Linked DNA regions of Drosophila melanogaster. The protein of the gene in region 1 interacts with the protein of each later gene in a pairwise test. Each region holds a gene or a part of one and is shown on either strand. Other genes may lie near its edges. The genes, in order: CG13742 and PHDP.

Region 1 (5,754 bases):
AGCATTTTGCAACTACTTAGCAGTGTAAGCTCAAAAGTTATTTTGTTATTTTATAAAAGTATATTTAAACATCACGCTTTATCTTTCTTGACATCTGCTCTGCCCTTTTGGGCAACTGGTTTTTCTTTGTTAAGCCTTTTCAGTGGCTTGGTTGGGGTATCTTCTTGGGTGGCTCTACTTCGTCCTTTTCCCTTCTTCTCAAACCTCGCACTGTCTACAGATTTAAAACGCTCGTCCTGTAGGAGAGCTTTGCCCTCTTCGCTGGCTGCCGGCTCTGCGTGCTGCAGTTTTCTCTTTCGGCGTATTTCCCTTAGTTTATCCTTCTGTTTTTTACGATACCTGTGGATGGGATACAAAAATTGTTATAAAATACAACGAATATGCGTATTTTCCACTGCTTACAAAGCTTCCATTTGGTCGGGGTCCTTCCCCTCCATAATCCACGTCTTTCGCCTATAGTTTTGCGCTCGCTCGTCGAAATCGTTATTATCTAATTGCATCTCTGATTCACGGCGCGTGACATTTACTTGCATAAAGATTCTCTCCACCATGCGCTCTAATTTATATAATATATATATTAAAGATAGTTATTTTGTGTGCCACTAATTCCAACAAAACTTACGATCGATGGGATGCTCTGTAAGTTTGGTGTTGATCTCCTCCTCAATGGCGGCCAAAAGCTCTAGATCGCGTGGAAAGCGGAATATGGAGATGGACATGCCCTTGCGCCCCGCTCTTGCTGTTCTGCCTACGCGATGGATGTACTCCTTTGGTGTCCGGGGAAGCATGTGATTCATAACCAGCTCGACGCTGGGTATATCCAGACCTCTGGCGGCCACATCCGTAGCGATCAGTGTACGTATTTGGTTGGACTTGAAGCGACTTAGAGCAGCTACGCGCTCCTTTTGCCGCATGAAACCATGCAAGCAAACATTATCGATTTCCATGTTCTTCAGTGTCATCGAGAGAAGCTGACAGTACCTAAAATGATTCGTTATTAAATCCTTAGAATTTACTTCCTATTATTGTGCAACTAACTTTTTTGTGTTGGTGAAGATCATGACATTAGCGTTTTCGTTCTCCTCGCGATACTTTCTTAGTGCCTCTATTAAGACCATGTCGCGATCGTAGTCGGCGCACAGCAGATAACGCTGGTCCAGAGTCTCTACAGTGGCCACGTCTGAGTCCTGCGACCATTCAAAACACTACATTCGGATTAAGATATCTATTAGTACCATTCAACAGGGTATTCATAAAACTTACATCGCTGGCAATGGGAAATATGCTGGACTCCTTTATGAAGTCCTTCATGGTTGCGGAAAAGAAAAGGTTTTGCCTTGTCTTTGGCAAACAGCGCTCAATGATGGATAGGCTCTCGTCAAAGTCTCCGTTCAGCATGCGATCCGCTTCGTCAACAACCAAATACTTCAGATTGTCGAAGGAGAAGGTGTCGCAGCCGGTTAGGTGATCCGCGAGACGGCCGGGCATGGCCACCACGATGTGCGGTCGCTGCATAAGCTTCTGGCTCTCGACCATTTGGTCTGTGCCGCCAGAGACAACACATACGCGCACCCCCATCGCCTGTCCAGCCACAAGAAACTGCTCGGAGATTTGATAGGCCAACTCGTGCGTGGGCGTCAGCACCAGGGCGAAGTGGCTCACTGGCTCTTCGCTCAGCCGCTCCAGAATGGGCAGGGCAAAGGCGAAGGTCTTGCCCGAGCCCGTCTTGGCAGCTCCAATGCAATCCTGGCCCGCCAATATCGCTGGGATGCATTTCTGTTGGATTGGAGTTGCTCCCTTCAGGCCTGAAAGCGCAATGGTTTAATTACTTGGGTAAACCCGTGGACGGCTTGACATTACCCAACTTGGTCAGCTGCTTAACCAACCATGGACGTAGGCCCAGGATCTGAAAGGGATTGGCCTCCTTTCGTTGCATTTCGGTAAATAAAAATACAACGAAATAAAAAAGGAAAACAACGTGCGCTGTATTAGTGATGGAAGTATTGTCTTCTGTATCGGTATATAACTATCGATACGTTTTTAATTTTTGCTCCGTGTGAGTGGTTAGCTGTATTTAGTACGCATTTTTAATTTAAATTCAATTAAATTTTTTATTTACTTCAACCGCAGAATTATTGGCGAGTAATAAGAAAAAATTCACTATAAAATTAATAATACATTTTATAATTAATCGACAATAGTCACGCTCTAGACAGGTAAGATTCCGCATCTATGGGCGCGATCATTTTGTAAACACACTGAATATTTCGATTTAGACTCAATGCAAAGATGTCCGAAAACCATGATAGCCTGGGTGCATCTGTAGCCTACAGTGAGCTGGTGGCTATAGACCAGAAGGACATCATCCTGATGATAGACTTTGATTCGGCGGTTTCCATTTGCTCAGCATGTATCGCAAATAAATCCGCGAATCCTGTGGATGTCTTGACATTGTGGTTCACCAAACTATTAGGAGCATACATCGACGATTCCGGGTATTGTGTACTAGCAGCTCGGGAAATGTGCAAGTGGTTCACGATCGTAGGTAATTCTTACACAATGCGCTTCAGTCTATTAACTTTAAATTCGTCCTCAGGAAGCAGAAACTGGCAATGAAGTCCACAGCGGTCATATAAAACTCATGTCTGTGGCACAAGAATTTGTATCCACATTCAGGGATCGATTGCTGGAAGCAGGCGAACGTTTGGTTCAAATCCTTGCCTATCTTGTCTTTACAATTATCGACTTCTGTTTAATGTGGTAAGAGGGGCTTGGATAAAACCTATATGTAAAATATTTCTATATATTTTTGCTTACATCATTCAGCGATAAGAGTCATCGCCAGATTGTTGCGGATCTTCAACTCGAAACGCTTTCTTTAATAAAGGATTCTATCATTAATTTGACAGAAGTCCACCCTCGCCTTGCGACCTGTAAGTTAGGAATACTAACGAATTGATACACCCAAAAATTTGAGTATTATCTGAAAGTTGTTGTAGACTAATTATAGACTTTATATTAAACAATTGTCAGTGATGCAAAAGATAATGGAAATCGCAGATACCGAAGGAACACGCACTGGTGATCTGCAGTTATCTGTACAGACAGGCGAGACGTTGGCTCATATTTGCTTGCACTTCATGACAACCTGGCATGCTAATCCTACAGACGAAAAACTGCCCAATTGGCTTAGGGAAACTGTTTTTCATCTATGTGATGTGGTTACCGTTCACTTGAATAGTACTTTTGACATCGTTCGTATAACAAAGCTTACGATTTGTAAAAGAGTTTATTTAACAAGACATTTTTTTTAGGACAATCGTATTGTTCCTGCGGAAAAGTTAGAGGAGCTTGTAGATGGTATCAGGACCTACATTGTATTGTTATATCATATTCTTCAAAAAGGTGTGGTGTATGTTGATGATGATGTAGCTGTTTGTCTGATGGACTTAATAATGTGTGAACGAACGTAAGTTTGAAAAATGAAATGGTTATTTGCAATAATTGTATTTTCTTTTAGGAGGCCATCACATTACTCTGACATCGAGAAGCAACAGCTAATTTCTGTGTTAGTACGACCACATGTACTAGATATTTTAGAGCTGCTTTACAAGTTCCAAAAATGTCAAGAAGTAAGATGAAATTCAGAAATCGCTTGCAAATAAATGTCTTCGGATAGACTTTGATTGAAAACTATTCATTCATACAATACATCATCAGATTTTGTTAATGTTACTAAAATTTGTCCTTTTAGTATTTAATATCCAGTGTCCTTGGTACACCAAAATTTGACTACTTCGACGCTTGCATGGATTTTATTAATGCTGTGTCTACAGACGATGCGGATGTGCTCCCATCTACTTGCCGAACATTACAACAAACTTTTGAATATTTGTTTAAAGGTAAGGTGTCGATTCGATCATATTTATTTCTTACTACTTACTGAGCCCACAGATGCTAAAAATTTTGTTCACGGCGAACGCTATAATCAAGTATTGGATGCGTTTGGTTGTCTTTTGTATTTAGTGGGTAACATAGAACTACATAGGTATTTCTGTGCCGGCATATTTCAAAAGGATTTTATTACATCGCAAGTGTGTGCGGATATTCTCATGCTGTGCTTTCGGTTAGTAATTATAAATCATACATTTTAAAATTTATTTCACTATTCTATGTTTTTAGGCTAAAAGAGGCCAACAAATGCTGGACAGATCATGCCATAAAAGAGGCTATGGCTCACTGGCATAAGTGCAATAATTCTTACGCCATGTTTTCCACAAATCCAAGCCAATTGCATGTACAACGATTCCTTAGGTACTTCCACTGCTTGGGAAAGCAGGAACTTCCTGTCATAAGCATTCAAAACTTCCGGCACCTGTCTGTCGTCGCAAAATCAGATGGCCACGTGGGAATGAAGATATTGAAGCGCTTAGAACTCATCTCCACCTCAGCGCCCACAAAAGTTGAGTTGTACTATGAAGTGGTAAGCAAGTAGAAGTACACTTATAAAATGGATATACATACCTTGATTTTTTATACCCAAAGGTTGCTCTACTGGAACTTTTGGTGCACCACGATCAAATCGACTGTTCCCATTGGTTTCAGCGGACATCGGAAATGGCCAATAAACTTTTAGGCATTGACAAGAGCATTAGCTTTGCTAATGTTTACTTCAAACTACTAGCGCGTGCGAATGGATCCACCAAATTACTTATACTTAGGGGACTGCCTCCAAATGCTGGATGCACAAACTGGTATCGCGAGAAATTCCTCGACTCCTGCAAAGTCAGCGATGACGCCCAACTAAGAGCATTTAGTGCCCGCCATGCAATATACCCATTGTTTAAGGCATTGCATGTCGAACCCGGAACTGTTGTCGACGGTTCATTTGATCTCAGTAAATCAAGCTACATTCGCCATGGAGATCATAAATGTCCGGTCTCTAGTCTAAAACGTCGACGGAGTGAATTGGCGCCTAAAGAAATCCTTCGTAATATATATGAGGCTTCTCTTCAACTGACCCAGTGCACCGCGAATTTCGATGCTGCCGACTGGGAATTGCTCAAGAAGGTAATGGCCAATTTGAGTGGAATTGTACCCTAGCTCCCTGCTCTATGCTTTTCGTATCGCTCACTTACCTAAATCAATTAATTACCACCTGTGTACTCATTTTGAATAAGAATCCCTAATTAAGATGTTGTGCGATAAGGCGGTTAAAAATAACGTGTAAATAAAGACAGTTTACCTGCAAGCGAAGCGGATGTAAAGCTAACGAAACTGCCTGCGAAATAGGATCGAAAGGCTACCCTGGTGATGTCTGATCGTCGGGATGGTGCCATTGCACTCAGCGAAGCGATGACAATGCCCAGGGATCCGGGATTGGCAAACCCACAAAGGGCAAAAGTGGCTATGGCAGCGCTCCGCGGCTATAAGAATACTAGTTTTAAAATAATCTATAAGAATAGAATATGCAGATGGGTACTCACATCAACCTTTTTATCGCTAACCAATATGCCCAGGTTTCTATAAGCCACAAACTCGTTTATGAACGACTTTTGGGCCACCACCAGGCCAATTGCTTGACAATCGTGCCACGGCACGCCCATCACGAAGACAATCGGGATAAAGATCTGGGAGAGAATGTAGAGTAGGGTGATGTTATGCAGTCCAATTAGCTCGAAAATCCACTCCGTTACAGCGTCTAGGAAGAACACAATGGCTAGGAAGGCGATGATATTCGAGACGATTCCGAGC
Region 2 (3,846 bases), about 15 Mb from region 1:
CCTTTTTCTTTACTTTATGTTTTCCAAACTAACGTTAGTTGTTTTCAGAATGACTCAATAGAACCTGATACTTGTTCGATGCATGTAGTTCCAGGCTCATTTGCACCCACAACTAGGTTGAAACCTACTTAAACTAGCTTCCCATTTAGATGCTCTATAACTAAATAATATGTTGCTGTTTTTACAGGATTTTCGGGGTGGGTTTGAGATCGGGTTAAGCAAACAATGCAGGTGGGTTTCGTTCAGGTCGATCACCTCCAACATCTGGTTACTATACTATTTATTAAATGTAAAATGAGTTCATATCTTTGCGTTTGATACAATTACAATTGGAAAGGTTATAATTTTACACATATATTGGATATATTTTAACCTAAAATGTAACACAGTAACTTATTCCAAAACTTTCGGAATGTCGTAATGTTGTATTATTATGATTGCCATAACAATTCTCCGATTTACATAGACTTGCGATTTAAGTAATGATTACTACAAAGTAGAGTTTCTTTTTGCACGAGTGTTAGTTTGAGCATGATGTGCATCTATTAGGTGGCTTTGTTTTCCTAGAGACTTAGTCGTTCCAATTCGTTGATTAAGAAAAGAAAAGGCTCACTCTACCATGCAAATGTGTAAAATCCACAAAGGCAACTAAGACCATTTTTCAACTGGAAAAAGAGGCACATTCTAAACTTTTACCTCGTATGTTTGACTAAACTGATCCCAATGAAATTGTTTCCGAAGATAGATACATTGAATTTGGAACTGTTTTTCTTTGAAAATTTAACTAAATGGCTTCAGCACATGGAACAACCAGCCTATCCTATTAGCAATCCAGCATTAGGGTGTCCAAAAAAAAAAGGACTTCAGCGCAGAGTAAATAAAAATTAGGCAGGACTCTGATTAGCAGGAATTAACTAATCGAAATAATCCGCAGAGCAAATAATTGTTTCCGAAAACAGGGGTTGTATCCTGCCAGTGACTTTAAACAATGTTTCAATCAGCCCAATGTTATAAACAAGAAAAGATAGTAAGGTGTCTCTTATCCATTGTGTGCGGTACAACACCATTTGTTTTATCAAGTTGGCGAAGTGCTGTACTCGTGATGACGGACTGTCCGATACCCTTTCCATTTCATATATGAAGTTTAAATATATTTTATAATTTATGTTACTTTGGCTGTTCCTTAAGAGTTATTGCAACGTAAAGAGGATTTTCATTTTTCTTACTTTTTATATTATCCCAGAGAAGCATTTCCTTTAATCGCTCAGACAGGACATCCCAGCGTCATGGTTGCCCGATAAGCCAATTTAATCTTCTGAGTGTTGCTTTTTGAGGCCTGTGAAAATTGGTGCACTCAAAGAAAAGTTCGCTTAAAGATGGAGCTTGGAAAATATTCAGATTTTGAAGAAATATTCATTGAAAAGAAGATTTCTGAGTGAAGATTAGATCAGAGCCAACAGACAGCGATGCAATCAATGAAATTAAAACCAAAACCAATTCTTTAGACATGCTGTGACAAGTCAATTGGGGAAATGCGGTGAATTTTCGCGCAGTGCACGACACGCGCCGGAAAGTCAGATTTCCACCCCTATGTCGAGTGGAGCTCGTTAGGACCGCCTCCAAACGCGGAAACGAATGAAATTTTCCGTCCCGCTCTCCCGAGACAAGTGCAGCATCCTTGTTCGTCCAACGTGGATGTCCTGTAGTTGATACAATCGTAATCGAAGCTTATTTATTCAAGGGCAGTTAAAAGTGTGTGCGGCCGCGGAGCTACTATAACTATGTGTTTTATGGCCGAATGACTCATTAGCGGGCTGTAAAATTTCAATCGAGTGCCGTGTGTGAATTTACCTGCAGATGCGATGGAATTTTCACTGCTCAACAAGGCGAACTTCGACAAGGATTGTTTGTACACCGCGAACTCGGAGTTCTACAACAGCGGCGCCAATGGAGGAGGACTCTCCGTGGCCAATCACATAAATCACTACAACCTCATGATTGACTCCAGTTACAAGCTCTGCGCCAACGAGTCCGCAATCCGGGGTTCCCTCAACCAGGAGTCGAGCTTATTGTTCTCCAAAATCACCACTGTCTCCGAGTTTTACCCGGCCACCCATAACATTGGCTCCTACAACACGGGTAAGTACAGTGGCCATCAGTTCCACCTGCAGCCAGTGCACCTGGATGGATCGATTATGGATTGTAATCTTGAACCAACTCTCACCTCGCCATAGACTTCCATTTGAAGTCCTATGGAGACGACGGCTTGAGCCTGACCGACAAATCAAAACAGAGGCGCATTCGCACCACTTTCACGTCCAACCAGCTGAACGAGCTGGAGAAGATCTTCCTGGAAACCCACTACCCAGATATCTACACCAGGGAAGAGATCGCATCCAAGCTGCACTTGACGGAAGCTCGAGTTCAGGTGAGGAAAACTAATGAGATTGAATTGCTGGTTAAGTGAGTGGGTAGTTTAGGATACACATATTTCAATAATTAACATATAACAAATAATACTTACATAATATAATATAACTATTGAAAAGAACTCGATCTGCTGTTGATAGGTTCAAATATTATAGGTTTCTCGAAGCCAGCTTACAATCGAAACGAATTTAGTCATATCCTGTTGAAGGATACAAAACGACTTAGTAATCGAAATTAAAAAAAAAAAAAACCATTGTGTGTTTTAGGTCTGGTTCCAGAACAGAAGAGCCAAGTTTCGCAAGCAGGAGAGGCATGCCATTTACATAATGAAGGACAAGTCGAGCAAATTGGATGGCCGGAAGAATCCTGTAGCAGGATCGAAATACCTGGGCCCATCTCTCAAGGGACCCCAGAATGGCCATGGCCGTCAAATGAAATGCTTATACGATCAAATATAGAATCCACTAATATCTATGTAAATATTAGTATACATTTTGATGAATGCAGTTATTTTGATATTATTTTTACTGACTATTTGGAGCGAATTGCGTTAAATAAATAAGATCTGTGTAACACTTTGCTTGTTTTCATATCATCCGGGACAACTGGCTTAGCACCCTTTTGAGGGCTCAGCCGGCTAAGCCTGTGGGAAGAAAAACAAGGACTTGAATGGGGGTTGAAGGGTCACCATCTACAAGTACCAAACCTCACGCCCTTCAGGGGTAAATTGTCATCCCATTATCGGGTGGAAAAAGTGGATTGGATCGGCATTAGGGCGTGTAATCAGTTGATGGTGGCGATTCGGTGCGCTCAATATAGCAATTGTTGTGGAGTGCCCACCGCAGGGATTGGCGGTGAATACCTTTCAGATCTAATTAACAAGATCAAGATTGAATTGCAGTTTATTGAAATCATATGTGCCCAGATGTATAACTTAATATTGCAATTTATAAGTAGTGCCCGCCTTTCAACACCCTCGAATGATTTTAATAAACTGTGAAATCGTTGTTCATTTTACATTTTTCTACACTTCATTAGTGAAACGTATATACAGATATTAAATATATACATAAATATACAAATATCATTTAGCCTTTTAACTATATATAAAACGTACTCTTCCGTTTTTTAAATAGTTTTGTTGCAATTTGATTTGATTATTTTATGTGTTTTTTCATTTAGAATAAAAGAATTCAAATTAATTATTTTATTCAAATATTCCAAGGACATTTTCAATTCCATCGTTCCCGGAAAAAGCAACATATTATAAGTCGAAATACCCTCAATGCTTTCGAATACGAAAATACCGCTATCTGCGGTATTAACTGGCGAACGCGCTAGGGATTTTGTTGCTCTTTTGGCCAGCTGCATGTTATTTGTTAATCGGCTGGTTATAACACTTTATGAATTAAAAAA

The links.
Region 2: the proteins of CG13742 (region 1) and PHDP interact in a two-hybrid assay, tested with the Drosophila melanogaster proteins (one large-scale study listed by BioGRID).

What each region holds. Positions count from the first base shown.
Region 1 is NT_033778.4:9,084,093-9,089,846, reverse strand, and holds CG13742 (uncharacterized protein), read left to right. Parts: upstream 1-2,214; 5' UTR 2,215-2,216; intron 2,217-2,276; 5' UTR 2,277-2,289; coding exon 2,290-2,541; intron 2,542-2,596; coding exon 2,597-2,760; intron 2,761-2,826; coding exon 2,827-2,933; intron 2,934-3,033; coding exon 3,034-3,254; intron 3,255-3,314; coding exon 3,315-3,469; intron 3,470-3,520; coding exon 3,521-3,632; intron 3,633-3,754; coding exon 3,755-3,902; intron 3,903-3,954; coding exon 3,955-4,126; intron 4,127-4,129; exon of another isoform or gene 4,130-4,182; coding exon 4,183-4,483; intron 4,484-4,524; exon of another isoform or gene 4,525-4,545; coding exon 4,546-5,103; 3' UTR 5,104-5,147; coding exon of another isoform or gene 5,148-5,185; 3' UTR 5,186-5,245; downstream 5,246-5,754. Other genes in the region: Dbp45A (DEAD box protein 45A), read right to left, coding at 72-339, 403-556, 623-981, 1,039-1,205, 1,264-1,805, 1,861-1,936; CNT1 (concentrative nucleoside transporter 1), read right to left, coding at 5,148-5,185, 5,246-5,426, 5,487-5,754.
Region 2 is NT_033778.4:23,882,329-23,886,174, reverse strand, and holds PHDP (putative homeodomain protein), read left to right. Parts: upstream 1-1,734; 5' UTR 1,735-1,862; coding exon 1,863-2,139; intron 2,140-2,234; coding exon 2,235-2,428; intron 2,429-2,696; coding exon 2,697-2,888; 3' UTR 2,889-3,039; downstream 3,040-3,846.